Oreochromis niloticus: one gene and its partner. The protein of the gene in region 1 interacts with the protein of each later gene in a pairwise test. Links are inferred from orthologs where the notes say so. Each region holds a gene or a part of one and is shown in the gene's direction. Other genes may lie near its edges.

Region 1 (7,386 bases):
GAGGATCTGCTGCACTTGATGTCATACAGCTCTACTGAATTTAAAACTGAAGTAATACTAACCCAAACCCAAGTATAACATGCCCTAATGGCTTTAGTTCAGCATCTAAGCATAGAAACTACAAGTAAGAAAAATTCACAGCCAAATGAATAAATACGCATGCAATAGCTGAATGATCAAAATATTTCTATTGAGGATTATTTACCTGCAGCTGCGTAGGGGGCCATGGCGTGTGCGTCAGGTGGCGCACTTGGGAGCTGTGTCTGCCCAAGCTCCGATGAACACTGCAGCACTCGTCACAGATCAACACGCCTCTGTTCACCGAGGCCCAGCGAGGTTCTGAGCAAGAACAGAAAACAACCAAGTCACAATTATGATAGATAAATTGAGCAGCTTAGAGTATAATCTTGGAGTTAGAGCATTTCACTGGTTTTACTTCGATCAAGCCGGAAGTTAATCTTTCTTTCTCTTTTTATCATCATTCAAATCAACTCAGTGCTTCCCTTTCGACAACAAGCTGGAGCCAAAGAGTCTCCTGTTACCACTGTTGTAAGATGACTACTACAGGCAGGTGCTTACTTGGTAATAATTATGATATTTTGAAAAATCATCATTTGATAGTTCTTACTCACAAGTACTGCTAATTTACCCAAAGTTTAATACAGTTTATTCTTCTGTGCCATAGGACTCTTGAAAATTATAGGCAAGCCACACTGATATCAGTACTTTACACACCATTACACACCTACAAAAATGAGCTCTCAAATTTTTAAAAGCACAGAACTAAAGCTTTTACATGGATCCCTCATAATTGTGACAGATTTAGCTGAATTGGGCTTAAGACAACTATCTTTTAGGTTCCAAGCACCCTAAAAAGAGTTGTGATTTCATGACAGAAGGAGATGAAATCGGAGTTTCGAGACAACATAAGAGTTTCAGTTGGGTCAAAGATGCCACAGAAGGAAATAATCGACAGAATCTGATTGTTTTGATAGCATAAATAGTCCCCATATGTATAAGGTATTTCGTTTTTGATTGCTATGGCATGACTTTATGAGCTAAACCATATTATTTTAGGGACCCCTTAGCACAAAGCCAGACCCGCTCTGAGAAAACAAACATATAGTTATCTATAGCTGAGAAAGATCCCTGAAAAACAGGCTGTTTAATCCTGTTCAAGTGGCATTTGCTGAAAACTAGTGTCCTGCTGGAAGAAATAGCCGAGGCTTTTGAAAATGGTTATTTCATATATTTTATTTTTTTAAAAATCATTGGCTTTCAACACATGGGATTAACAAAATGTTGGTGTTGGAGTTTTCATTAAATTTCTGGACACTAGATCACAATGTAATGTATGTCATATAATTAAACATAATAATATCACAAGATGCTGAGTGGAGGCTTTAAGATCTAATGAAGACAAACACAATCCAAGAAAGAAAGAAAAGAAAAAGCCAAACTCCAACAGGCTGTGAAAAAGGTCACATTCATAGTCATGTATCGCCTTTCTGACTGCAGATTTAGGTGAAGCTATGTGTTGTGTAAAAAGGAAGTGAAGACTAGCGCTTGTAGGTCGAGGCGCCTCATAACAGAGCAGCTTCCTCTTTCAAAGCACTATAAAGAAAATACCTGAAGAACTAAGAATCTTAGAACAGAGCTGCAATATTAACCTAATGCGTGGTGTTAGTGCCCTGTGAATTAAAAGTCTACTATGACTCTGTGACCAAAATAAATGTGTTTACTTAACCTTGACCTATTTTGCACGGTTCATGTAGTGCAAAAGTCACAGAGTTGTCTTCCATCTGTGCACAGACTCTTCTTGACAGCAAACATCAAGACTAGAAACACTGTAAAATGATACAGCACTAAAGCCCACTGAGTTTTAAGCAGATAGAGTGACGGGACAGGCGCTGTAAAAATCCCGACAGCAGCTGCAGTGCAGGAGCAACAGATGCAGGAGGTCGCTGGACAGATTGTGGTTCCTGGTCCCCAAGTTTTCAGAATTTCCTTCTAACAACTCTCCCTCAGGACCCCCCGAGTCTCAGTGCTCTCCTCAGCACGTGCTGCTAAATTTAATACCACATCTTGAAACGCTAAAAATATTCACACCCAACAACTGGTAGCAACCATAAAGTGGGGCGATCCAGGGCAGTTGCTGAGGAGAGCTCAGGGTTAACCAATGACATGAGTGACACGATGACAGACGAGCTTCTTAATATTTGCCTTCCGCTGAATGATGCAAAACAAACCAATGTATATTCTATTATTAGACTTTATTTAATTTACAGTGCATTATGTTGCCACAAGAAGAAAAAAAAATAAAATCTCTCCTGCATTGAGTATGCGGTCGATTCACTCAGCATCCTGTTTTGCTTCCTGTGCCTGCTGAACAGCATCACGTCATTTCTATACAAGTGGAACTTCTGTAAGTACAGCCTCAGACACAATACAACAATTGTATGCTCAGCTCTCAGAGCTTGGTGCCATTGGCCCCGAAAAACAGAGCTCTGTTAGAGGGTGCTGGTTTACCCTGATGTTTACCCTGATTAATAAGTGGTTATAGCACTCATTTTTTACTCTATTACTACACATAGCACAGTAAAGTCACTGGTTACAGATGACACAGACTGCAGATTTGGGTTAAGGATGCAACGACTTTTTAAAATAATCAAATCTTTATGAATACAGTAGGAAATACCATACAGTCATTACTCATTAACACCTTTAGTTCAGATCAGTTACATCGTGCCAGAAGACCACTGTTATGCCCTTTTTTATTGCACTTTACTCATGAGAAACAGTTCATCCCAGCAGTTGAAAGCTCATTTTACAACGGGCATATAAAAGGGACATATCATATAATTATAATAGGGTTTTGGCTGGTTATTAAACCAACCGGCACCCTAAAAACTCCTTTCATGAAGGGAGCTATGGCGTTAGAGAAGAATACTAAATAGGTAAATACCCTAAATTTCTGTAAAGAGAAACCAACGTGTTGCCAGCGCTGCTAATCGGATTTATTTGGATTTGGGGTGTTTCTTAAGCACCAAATGTCAGCTAACAGACAAACACTGCATGGATGGTGTGAGTTTTACTTACCTGGGACACAGCAATCTGCGCAGACCTCAGTGTTTCGCAGGCGTTTAGACATCCTCAACTCGGGAAGAAACGCCTTTTAAAACTGAGTAGAGGAAATTGTGTCCGTTATGCTAACCATTGATTACTCTGTTAAGATACCTTCCGCGTTAGCTAAACCCAGCAAATTAAAAACAATCCGACAACTAACTATCGTACTTACTTCGTTTAACCGTTGCGAGCCTTTTCGTTTTGGCTAGCGTTGGAGTTATGACCATGATAACATTTCCTCCCGCTACAACGCCGCTCGTCTGCAAGTGAGCTGACTGAGCAGCCACCTGATTAGCTAACTAGCCTGTGCACACTTGGTAGTTTACTCCTCTGCCTCTAGACAGCAGCATTTAGCGCTAGCGCGATCCCAGAGGCAGCTGTGACTGTGACCTATAAATGCGGTGTACTGTGCCCATAGTTTTGACTCTCAGGAAATAAACCTCTCAAAATAATACGAATAAGTCCTTCTTGAAATTTGTTCCGATTCTCTAATTTTATAGCTACAGGTAAACATGAAATATGAATACAACACAATACTTATGGAGCTCTTTTTTTGTCGGTACACAACCTGACAGATTAAAATCAGGGTCTTAATTTTCCCTAAAAGAGGTGAGTTTGATCTACTCACCTTGGAGTACACTGTAGTATTTTGTTATGTCTTAAATTGAGCTCCATAAATGTTCACCTACCGACGGCCTTTTAAATCGCGCTTTGTACATCTTTAACACTGATGCAATGTTAGATTAAAAAAAAAACAAAATACAAGACATGAAAACAGTCATGTGTATTAAATCATATATTAAAATTTGACTCCGCAGAGCAGAAAAAGGCACCGAACGTAACTGAGACAGAGGAGTTTTTAATTAATATTGATTTGTGAAGTTTAAAACAATAGGACGGATACATACAACTTTATATACTATCTTTAAATTTAGCAGGCGTAGTTATGTACATTATAACCTGGCGGTACAGATTTAGATTTTTAACCCGCTCCCACCCCCTCCCTCAAAACGTAATATTGCCGATCCCATTTCAATGTTATAGGGCAAAATAAAACAATTTACTTTCTAGGAATTTACATGGTTTGTTTAGCTGATGTCTGCACAATATAGTGGCGCTACATTTCAAGAATTCAAAATATGGGAACCAAAGTTAGACAATATAGAAATCACTTTATTTAGTCATAGTATTAACAATGAAGGTTCTTCAACCCCCATGTCGACATGCTAAATGGTTGAGTCCAGACTGGAAGTGTCTATTATTTTTTTAAAGGCGATGATTTTATCTACGAGTGCCGTTTCATTTGTTTTTAGCCTAAAGGAATATTTTGTAAACCGTATATAAAGAAGGTGTCACTTTAAAATCGACCATTAGGTTACCTTAATCAGGCGATATTTAATGGACCGCGAGTCTGTTTCTATATAGAACACCCCTGTCGTTGCTGGGAAATACTCCTGGCACTTCCTTGTTCAAAAGTTTTATTTAGGGGAAGGCTTGGGGGGGAAAGTTGGTCACCGGATTGGTTATTACTTCGACGCTGCTGTCAGACATTAAAGGCATGGATCAAAGCTTTTTGGCGTAACTACTGTGGCTGTCCCAGCTTTTCTCATGGCTCCAGTTGTTAGAGGGTGGCTAACGTTGCACTGAAAGAAAGAGGAAGATGTCCATGGCTAACATTAGCGAAGACATCAGGGTGAAGTTTCCCCTGCATTCCGCAGTGTGGGAGAATGACTACAGGAAGCTGGAGCAGCTATTAACATCAACGCAGGTTGGTTAAAACCACTGGAGAGGTTGGTAACCTTGGCACCAATACTCAGCTAGCCGGACTAAACCAGGAGTGAGCTGCTGAATTTCCGCAGGCAGGCAGTTAAAGAAGGCCAGTGGTGTTTACAGATGCTCCGCAGGCAGCCACATACACATGACATTGAGTAGCTCAGCTTTTTACGCATCTAGAAGTTTGAAAGCTTTAAAAGACAAACAAACAAAAAGTCTTCCGGTACAGACTGGTAACTTGTTTCCAGTTAAAATGTAAGCTTCTGTCCCATTTCACTGGATTCCTCAAATACACTGATTAACAGACAGCAGTACGTGTTTTATCACTCGCATGGATACATTTGTTGTTTATTTTGCACTACTTACAGTAACTCGGCATTGCTATTTAGCTTCAAAGTGGAGAGATCCAGTGGCTCAAACAATAAACAGTGTTAGGGATGGGTATTGATAAGAGTTTATTGATACAAATGCCATTATTAATTCTCTTTATAGGTCAGATTGGTTTTCACTGTCAACACACAGTTTCATTTTCACTGCTTGGACAAAGTGTAGGGGGGGAAAAAGCTTGCATGTGACACAGGTGTGTAAAAAGTGCCGCTATCATGAGTCTGGTGTCACTGTTGTGCAATCTGCAACTTTTGGAAAACATGCCATGTGCTGTGAAAAAGATTTGATGTTTTGGGGGGTTTATGATAATCCGATGAATAGTATAAGCTCTGGATTCCCATCCCTAAGCCAATAATTACCTCAAGACATGCTGGAGAGTTTATTTTATTTATTTAAAATAGACAATGCAGTTTGACATAGTTCCAGTACAGAGCATGAAACTGATGTGCCGCACAAAGAGTTTATAGCTATTCCTAATTTCCAGCCCTTGTCCCTTGTTGGGCTTATACATCCACACTACACAATTATTATGATTTCTTTGTACTGACTCCAGCAGTTTTATATCATTATTAGCCATGACAAAATTACATGTTGTTGACTGCATTGGTTATAATAATCGCTTGGAGGTTCTTATGTCAGCTCAGTAGTATTTAGTCTAAACAGGCACCTTATTATTTTTCAGAATGACATCGAGGCTGTGGATCCCAGAGGCCGAACACCTCTACACCTGGCTGTATCACTCGGGCACCTGGAGTCAGTGAGAATCCTGCTGAGACATGGCGCTCAAGTGACTAAAGAAAATGCCAATAATTGGACAGGTTTGTTACAAAGCTAGCTACATAACAGACAAGGAGGGCTAGGATTTGGATTGGTTTGTTGGTTCATTTTAGATCCCTGCTGTCTATAACCCTAACCATCATCTGCTGTTGACGAGGTTTCTTGTAAATATACTTATCCAAGAATATCAACTCCTACAACTGCAGTAAAACGGTTTCTTTGGTCTTTAATTTCATTGCTGAGGTTTTTAATGGTTAATCGTTTCTCAGAGGAAACGGATGCTGTTCCATTAAAAGGTTTAGTGGTTTTTTCTGCTTGACTTTCTATGGGCAGTGCTGCAGGAAGCAGTCAGCACAGGAGATCCAGAGATGGTTCAGTTAGTGCTTCAACGCAGAGACTACCTCAAAGCCTCCACTGCCCTGGGAGGAGTGCCTGAGCTGCTGTCAAAGATCCGAGTGGTGTGACTTCATATATTTTTCCCTTTTGCTTGTCATCATTTGTAAGTGTGCCTGGAAACATTTAAAATATTTCTTTTCCCTTTTCTAGTCTCCAGACTTCTATATGGAGATGAAATGGGAATTCACCAGTTGGAGTAAGTTCTTTTTTTTTGTGAGTGGAAATATATATATTTTTAAGTAGATTTTTAAAGTAGACAAGTGTATAAATGGTATTATGTTCATGCAAAAACAGCTGGTTTATCAGAAATCCAGTATGCAAAAGAGGGATGGTTTTAAAAAGTTTTTTTTATTTAAGGCAGCAGTCTGTTTTTAAAGATTGACGCTTTTCCTGTGTGGCTTCATCAGGTCACACAGGAAAAACTACATACCTGCCCGCTGCCAGGTGAAGTATTTGTTTGCTTAAGTGGTGTTTTTCACGTATGGATGCTTTTTGTTTCTGTATCCCGTTGTTTCGCAGTTCCTCTCGTGTCCCGGGTTTGTCCGAGTGATGTTTGCCGCATTTGGAAAAGCGGCGCCTCGCTGCGAGTGGATGTTACTCTTCTAGGCTTTGAGAACATGACCTGGATCAGAGGGCGTAGAAGCTACATCTTCAGAGGAGATGGCATGTGTTTACACTCCCTCACACAGTCAAGTTTTCTTTGCTGCTGTTTTGGTTAAAATGGTCTAAGCGACTCCCTGTCTGTGTGTCGGCAGATTCATTTGCAGAGCTGATGGAGGTGAACCACGACGATGAAGTCGTGGACATCGAACGCTTCAACATATCCCAAGAAATGGAGGATGTGACGTTAGAGTCAATGCAGCCAGCTGAGCAGGAAGTTGCCAAAAGGTTGACGACTCCTATTGTCAACACCTACTTGGACACAAA
Region 2 (7,281 bases), on another chromosome or scaffold:
GACATGTATGCATTCTCTGCTTACATACATATATTATTTGTGAGATTAAATGCATATTGAATGCATGTAAATGAGAGCAAAATGTAGGAATGCATAAATGAAAATGTATGTATGTGAGAGTGAAAATGTATGTATGTGAGAGTGAAAATATATATGTGTGTGAAAGAAGAATGTATGTGTGTGAGAGTGAAAGAATGAAAATATATGTATGTGAGAGTGAAAATATATGTATGTGAGAGTGAAAATATATGTGTGTGAGAGAAGAATGTATGTGTGTGAGAGTGAAAGAATGAATTTTGGCTTGTACGGCCCCTCATAGTTACTGTTAATCTGACTATCTTCAGGTTTTACACGCTTACATATACACACGCAGTTACTGTCCCTCCATTTAGAAAGGCAGAGGCGTCATGGTGTAATTATTTTACCTGTAGTTGTTTTTTTTCCTGTGTAATAATATTCAACATTGCTATCAATACATTTTTCAAAAAATGCCTCTCTGTGCAAAATGGGTTTAAACACATAAACAGCTGTGGGATACTGTTTGTCCATGATTTGAACAGGGGGAACAAATTACGGCAGGATCAGCCTGATATTATTTGTATCCCACTGTAACTTTACTGCATAAAGAGCTAACATCATGTTAGCTCTTGATTTTTAGTTCACAAACACTTCTTGTAATAACTAACAAATGTCAGGAGTAGTTAGTTATTACAAGAAGTGTTTGTGAACTAAAAATCAAGAATGTGAGATACTGTTTGTCCGTGATTTGGAGAGCACAGCGCGTGCTCCCGACGCAGGGAAACTAATTTTGCAGGGGAGACCTACCTCGGCACTTGTGCAGGTGAAGCCAAAGGGAAGATATGCTTCACCATATTTTCCTGTCTTTGGCTTGGAAGGAAGTTGGTTTGGAAACATATTTGGCGATGCTTCATCTCCTGCTTTGCGTTTGTGTGGGAGCCCCGTCAAAAACCTGTCCACAGTGTCCAAGCGCTCTTTTTTTTTTTTTTCTTTTCATACCGCGCACCCCCTGCAATGGCTCTGCGCCCCCCCCAGGGGGCGGGCCCCACACTTTGGGAACCTCTGTGCTAGAGGGTGTGGGGAAATAACGCTACATGTGCCTGTATAGTAAAAAACACAAGTCTGTATGTTTTCACCCTTGTTTAAACAAAAACATGTTTTATTTGCGATGTCAAGAAAAATGGCTACTCTGTCCTACCTTTTATGGCTTGCCATGCACATGTAAATGGTTTTTGGTTACTGAAAACAGAACGTCTGAAAAAAACTCATTCCATGGTAAAGATTCTCAGACACTGTTTCTATGTACATGTATGTATAGAAGGAACAAGAAGAATTTGTTTTTTAGCATCAACGTTGTGCATCTTTTTGTCTTTTTTTTGACACGGAAATGCAGTTAAAAGATCAAAATTTATGCACTTCATTGGGCCAGATGTGTTTACTGGGCCATTTATGACCCTCTGGCCTTGTGTTTGACATCTGTCCTCTAGAACGTCACCTGCTGGCTTCTGGACTACCATTTTCAACTCTCAGTGTTAACTTTTTGTCCGTAAAAAGGAACCACATTTGAATGACAGGGAGATTTAGCAAGCTGCATCCAAAAACTATATAGTTTTATCCCGAGTCTCTGGGTTCAGTGGTTAGAGACACACTTGCTAATTATTGCCAAGTGAAAAAGTCATATGAAAGATGCATGTACCCCTTGTGCTTTCACCTGTCGTTAGCCGTTAAAACAGCTCAAGTTTAAGGCACTTCTACGTTGAATTCACTTTTGAGACCCAAATTTAAATCCATCTTTTATAATAATAATAACATTTTTAAAAGATTTTTGCTCACAAAAAATGCACCATCAGCAGATAGAGAGGTTCTGTTCCTGTGGCGTGTCCAGCGGGGTGGCCTGGGGGGGCACAGGCCACCCCCCCAACCAGACTGGCCACCCCAGGTGCCACCCCGAAGCCAAAACAATAAAATCCAATGAAAAATCAAATGTACGATTATGTTTTCACAGTGAAGCTCAGATATCCGAGTGTAAGTGAATGCAGCATCGGCTTCTGAGCTATGAGCATCGTGTTAGCAAAGGTAGGAGAGCCAAGCAAGAAAGAGGCACCGCAGAAAAAAGTTTTTCGGCGAAAGATTAACAGTTTAGCTGGACTGGCCATCGAGCATGGCGGAGCTTCCACAGCGGCTAGCAGGTGGATGCGTGAAGGGGAGGCAGGAGGAGAGACCCGAGGCGGCCGCCGGTCCCAGTGTCAGGTGAACTGAACTTCAGGTAAGAAGTTATGACCTGCAGTCTATCTGGGTCAGATATAAACCAAGTTTAGGTGGAGTTTATTTTTGTTATGCTGACTTTTTACAGTCAGTTACAATAACTCATACTGCGTGCTAGCTAGCATGACATAGTTTCTATACAGCTGGGTGGGTGCTGTGATGTTACTGATAGTGAACTTTATTTTATTCATAAGTTTAGTTAGTAGAGTTTCCAACCGCTCCTTAAAAAATGGAATGGTCCCTCATTCAGAGAAAATATTACAGGTTTCGTATTGAGCTGAGAAGAGACGCAGTTTGTCCCGGACTTCAGCTAGAATGGAAAAAAGACACAAAGCTGGAGTTATTCTGTGTCTTTGCTGCACAGCTGCCTCTTCTTCTCTCATTCTCTCCCCCTCCCTCTCCTGTTGCTACTTCAATCATGAAACTGATCAATGATCAGCTGATCGGCTTTTCTCTCGTTTGTTTATCACCCACTTTGCACCAGAAAGAGGAAACTAGCGGATGTCGCGCTAAACAACAGCAGCACGTTTAAGCTTGATCAGCTGTTGTTAGAATTTATTTAATATTAATTTCTAGTATCAGCTGATGTTTGCTGGAGCCACAGCTGTAAAGCTGCTGGTCATGATGTCGGTTTGGATATGTGGTGAGAGGGAAACATGCAGATGAAACCAGGAGATGTCCTTACTGAATCATCAGAGCTGAACAGGTGATGGAGAAACAGGTTTACCTTGTAGGTGACATGAATGAGTTGAAGTTATGAACTGTTTCTGAGAGACAAATAACACCAGGATCCTTTTCTATGTAGCTGACAGCTGGTAACTGTGCAGGGGCGGATCTAGCAAAGTTATGCCAGGGGGCCAACAGGGAAAGGGGGGCACAAAGAAATACTTTTCTTTCTTATTCTCATTTAAAATATTTAGCTTTTATTAAATAAATATCTGAATCTTGCGAACAAAGTTTTTATCTGACGTAAAATTGATAGAAATCATACATATACCAACACGACAGTGTACATCACTGTCACAACAGCGTTTGTTTTCATTCAAAGGCTTTATGGCTTTAATACCTGGCGGGCCGGTCTCTGGTCAAAATGCCTGATTTTTCGTTCCAGTCCAGCCTGCAGGTTAATACTGGCAGTGTCACCATGCCAGCTGACTGTATTTTATCATCAGCCAGTGTTGTTCTTTATACATCAATATTACCAAAGTTTACCATAAGGCAGCATAGAAAGTATTTACTTGCTTTCAGGTTTTATTCAAATGTTAGTCTTTTCATTTGTTTCCCCACTTTTTTCCTGTTTCAAAATCAAACACCAGTTTGTAAGAAGATTATCTTCTTTTTTTAATAGGCAGATAAAGTTTTGCATTGGCTAATTTGCCAATTGTATGTTAAAAATGTTCGTATTTTAATATTTAAAAATGTTTTTGCCCAAAACATACGTGCACTATATGTCAGTAAAAATACTATGCAAATATTGCTGCACCATAGTGGTTAAAACCTTGTTCTAATAAGAGTCAAAAGCAAATTCAGTTATTAGGTTTACAGGGTTATTGAATGATGGTTAACTGTTGGTAGAATTTTTTTAACATTATCTGCCAATTACATCTGCCACCCTTCTCCAAATCTGTGCCCCTACCTGGCCCCCCCAACAAAAATTTTCTAGACACGCCACTGTTCTGTTCAGTGACTCAAATTAGCAGAGCGTTACCAGCTACAGCTTCCTATGCTTGGAGGACAAACTTTTTCCTGTAACACAAGCATTTTATTTATTTTTTTTAAATTATTATTAAATACTATTTAATTGTCTACACTCCTTTTCAGGGTACGAGCATTGACCATGTTCTTTTAATTGCTGTAAAGTTTGGCTATGGGGGATTGACTCGCTTTTGGGACCAGCCTCAAATGCCTATTTCAAGAACTGCAGTTTTTGGTTTCAGTTCTCAGCTTGCTTCGCTTCTGGATTCACTTTGGAGTGGGTGATTTCTGACAGTCGTTGAACGCAGCATTAGTTCAACCAACTTGTTGCTCATTCAGAGAAACGCCTCCTATTCCTCCTCCTGCTCTCCTAAACTCAATCCCTGCAGCTCTCTCGCTCTCACTCCTGACGGGTAACCGGAGCGTGAACATGGCTGCTAACCGGGTGATCGTTTACGGTGGGAGAGGCGCTCTGGGCTCAAAGTGTGTCGAGTATTTCAAATCTAAAGGATGGGTGAGTGGTGACAGCTAACGCTAGCATGCTAGCACTGATAAACGGTGAGCTAACTATATTTCTCTTTCTCTGTGCACTAAATAGTGGGTCGCCAGCATCGACATAGGTGCAAATGAAGAGGCTAATGAAAACGTGGTCGTGAAGATGACGGAGTCTTTCACCGAGCAAGCAGGACAGGTGCTCTGCAGGTCTTTCTTACTCATCAGTGCAAAAACTGAAGCGCTAACAGACAGGAGTAGGGCTGTTACTGCGACAGCTAAAGTCAGACTTTTCATGTGACTGAAGTATAACTCCAATGACATTTGTTTGTTATTTTATTATTGTTAAAATTATTATTATTATTACAACTATTTGCATTGTTCAGTAATAGTAGAGTTGCTAAAATGTGTGTAAGCTAATGCTGCGTTCAGGTCACACTGAGAAAGTGGGGATTTCGGTTTTTATAGTAGAGAGGTTATGATAGAGTCACATTACTGTGATGATTTTTTTTCTTATTTGTTTAGGCAGCATTAATGGTTATCTAAACTATACTTCTTTTTCTTGAACATCTTAATAGCTTTTATAGCTCAAATCTATTCATTGAGAGCATCTAAGGGTAGAGAGAGTATAAAAAGCCAAGGTAAGTAACACTATTAAAGCTGATCTTAAATGGTCTTATTTGACACACAGAAATATATTTATCATTTGATGCATCTCTTTTTGCTCATTTTATCTGACTTTGATAAAAATTGGTAGCATCCCTTCTCTCTGTATAATTGCTTTTGGTAAGATATTTTATGCACTTTATAAAATAAAAAGTGTGTTTTTAGAAATCTAACAGTGCACCTACTGAGTGAGGATAATTTCTACAGCTATCCTCCTTTGTTTGTTTACCAGAACAAACACTCTCCAGCTGATGCTTAGTTGACATTTAAATGCCATTCAGCTTGTGCGTCAGCCCCCAAGCTTTATGTCACTGTGTTAGCAGTTAGCTCTCATTTTGTGCAGGTGACGGCAGATGTGGCCCAGTTGCTAGGGGAACAGAAAGTGGATGCCATCTTGTGCGTGGCGGGAGGATGGGCGGGAGGAAACTGTAGTTCCAAAGGTCAGAGTTCAACCTTTTTTTTTTTTATTTGTTTTGATGTTAATAATCAGCCAGCTTTCCTGCAGCCTCCCATGCATAATTGTGAACTTGAAAACAATTTGCTGTGTAATTAAATAAAGTCTAAGGGATATTTGTGATGAGACTTTTTCTTGAATCTCGTTTACTTAGAAGTGTTCAAATCTTGTTCTGCGGGGCCAAAAGCTTGCCAGATTTTTGTTCTGCCAGTTAGCTTTTTGGTATTTATTCCATAGCTGTACCTGGCAGCAAAGGGAAAGCAGCAGTTCTCTTGAAGTGCCAGAATTGATGTGCACTGTGCAGCTAATAAGAAGTTTGTGGTTGCCGAAAATTCAGCCATTTCAAACATTTGGAGGAAAAGGCACTCACTTTCTGGCAAAGATGAAAAGACTGGCATGAATGAAGCTACTCAAAACAGCTGGTCTACATGGCAGGCTCAGATTAACAAGTTAGTGTATTAAATCTTTACAAATACCAGTGTTTATAAACAGCAATTCACCATTTAATAGATGAGGTACGTGCCAGCAATGATTCCTGGCAATGAACGGTTGTCAGGCAGTCTGGTAAGGCTTCAGGAAGTTTCTGGTCCAAGCCAAGAAATAATCTGACACAGAAACCCTGTAAAAATGGCAATTTGATCTTTTTTACTCAAGCTTTTGTACAGATCAAACAAACCTTTTAGAGGCACTCGCAGCTTTCGGCACTGCTTTGAAGAGCCAGGCTAAGATGTTGTTCTCTGTAATCTCCTACAGACTTGTACAAAAATGCCGATTTGATGTGGAAACAGAGCGTGTGGACTTCAACCATCTCCAGCCACCTTGCTGCCTTGCACCTAAAAACAGGTGGACTGCTGACTCTGGCTGGAGCTAAAGCAGCCCAGTCAGGCACTGGAGGTGAGGCACACAGTTTTTGTTGCGTGTTTACTGTTCTCATCATAGCGAACTGATAGCCTGCTCCTCAGGGTTACAGACTTTGACCAGGGTAATTGACACACTGATCAGAGGCGCACCTGCTCACAGCAGTGTGCGCGATTGGGGGCGAAATGTGTCGATAACATTGATCCAAGAAGCAAAACAGAAGGGAAAAGAGACAGAATCGCTGATGAGCTCTGCGGCAGCAGTGGTGCTCACTGGTTAGTGAGTCTGTTTCACAAACAAAAAGTAATTGGTTTGATTGCCAAAACAGCATGTTTGTCCACCACAAACCTTCCCCTGTGTTGTTGAGCAATTGACTCAACCAACCTGCTTAATCGTTTTAAGATATCCGGGGCAAGAGTGAATAAATAAAAAATAAGGTTAATGAAAGTAGATAAATTAGAAGAATAACAGAACACTAAAGGAAAATTTATGCTAAGAACCATAAGTTATATATTACATAAGGATTAATGCATACAGTACTGCACAAAAGTCTTGAGCCACCCTCCACTTTATGTTTTTCCAAAAAAATTGGGAAATGGGTGTAGCGATTTATTGAAATGTGCAAATTTGGATTAATCACTCCGTACAACATGTTTTCACTTCAGTTCTTTTTGTAATCTGGCAAACCTTGGCTGCTTTCTCGCCATTTGCCTTCCTTCAAGAATAATATCTTCTTGACATCCAGTCTTCTGCTGAAACAATTTCTCATGAGGCTTCCGTGAGGAGTAGATGGATTCATTGAAGGGCTAGATGCATTCCTCAGTTCCCGTGTC

What was found.
Region 2: the proteins of ankrd13a (region 1) and qdpra interact in a two-hybrid assay, tested with the Homo sapiens proteins (2 studies listed by BioGRID). The two-hybrid records come from large-scale screens. The link is inferred for Oreochromis niloticus from reciprocal best matches to the Homo sapiens genes ANKRD13A and QDPR.

Annotation. Positions count from the first base shown.
Region 1 is NC_031977.2:18,122,714-18,130,099, forward strand, and holds the start of ankrd13a (ankyrin repeat domain-containing protein 13A), read left to right. Parts: upstream 1-4,377; 5' UTR 4,378-4,786; coding exon 4,787-4,894; intron 4,895-5,968; coding exon 5,969-6,104; intron 6,105-6,396; coding exon 6,397-6,521; intron 6,522-6,609; coding exon 6,610-6,655; intron 6,656-6,978; coding exon 6,979-7,122; intron 7,123-7,214; coding exon 7,215-7,386. Other genes in the region: ARF GTPase-activating protein GIT2a, read right to left, coding at 206-339, 3,100-3,151. UniProt on the Homo sapiens protein: Ubiquitin-binding protein that specifically recognizes and binds 'Lys-63'-linked ubiquitin. Does not bind 'Lys-48'-linked ubiquitin.
Region 2 is NC_031966.2:12,137,843-12,145,123, reverse strand, and holds the start of qdpra (quinoid dihydropteridine reductase a), read left to right. Parts: upstream 1-4,274; 5' UTR 4,275-4,408; coding exon 4,409-4,492; intron 4,493-4,576; coding exon 4,577-4,669; intron 4,670-5,479; coding exon 5,480-5,576; intron 5,577-6,343; coding exon 6,344-6,484; intron 6,485-7,281. UniProt on the Homo sapiens protein: Catalyzes the conversion of quinonoid dihydrobiopterin into tetrahydrobiopterin.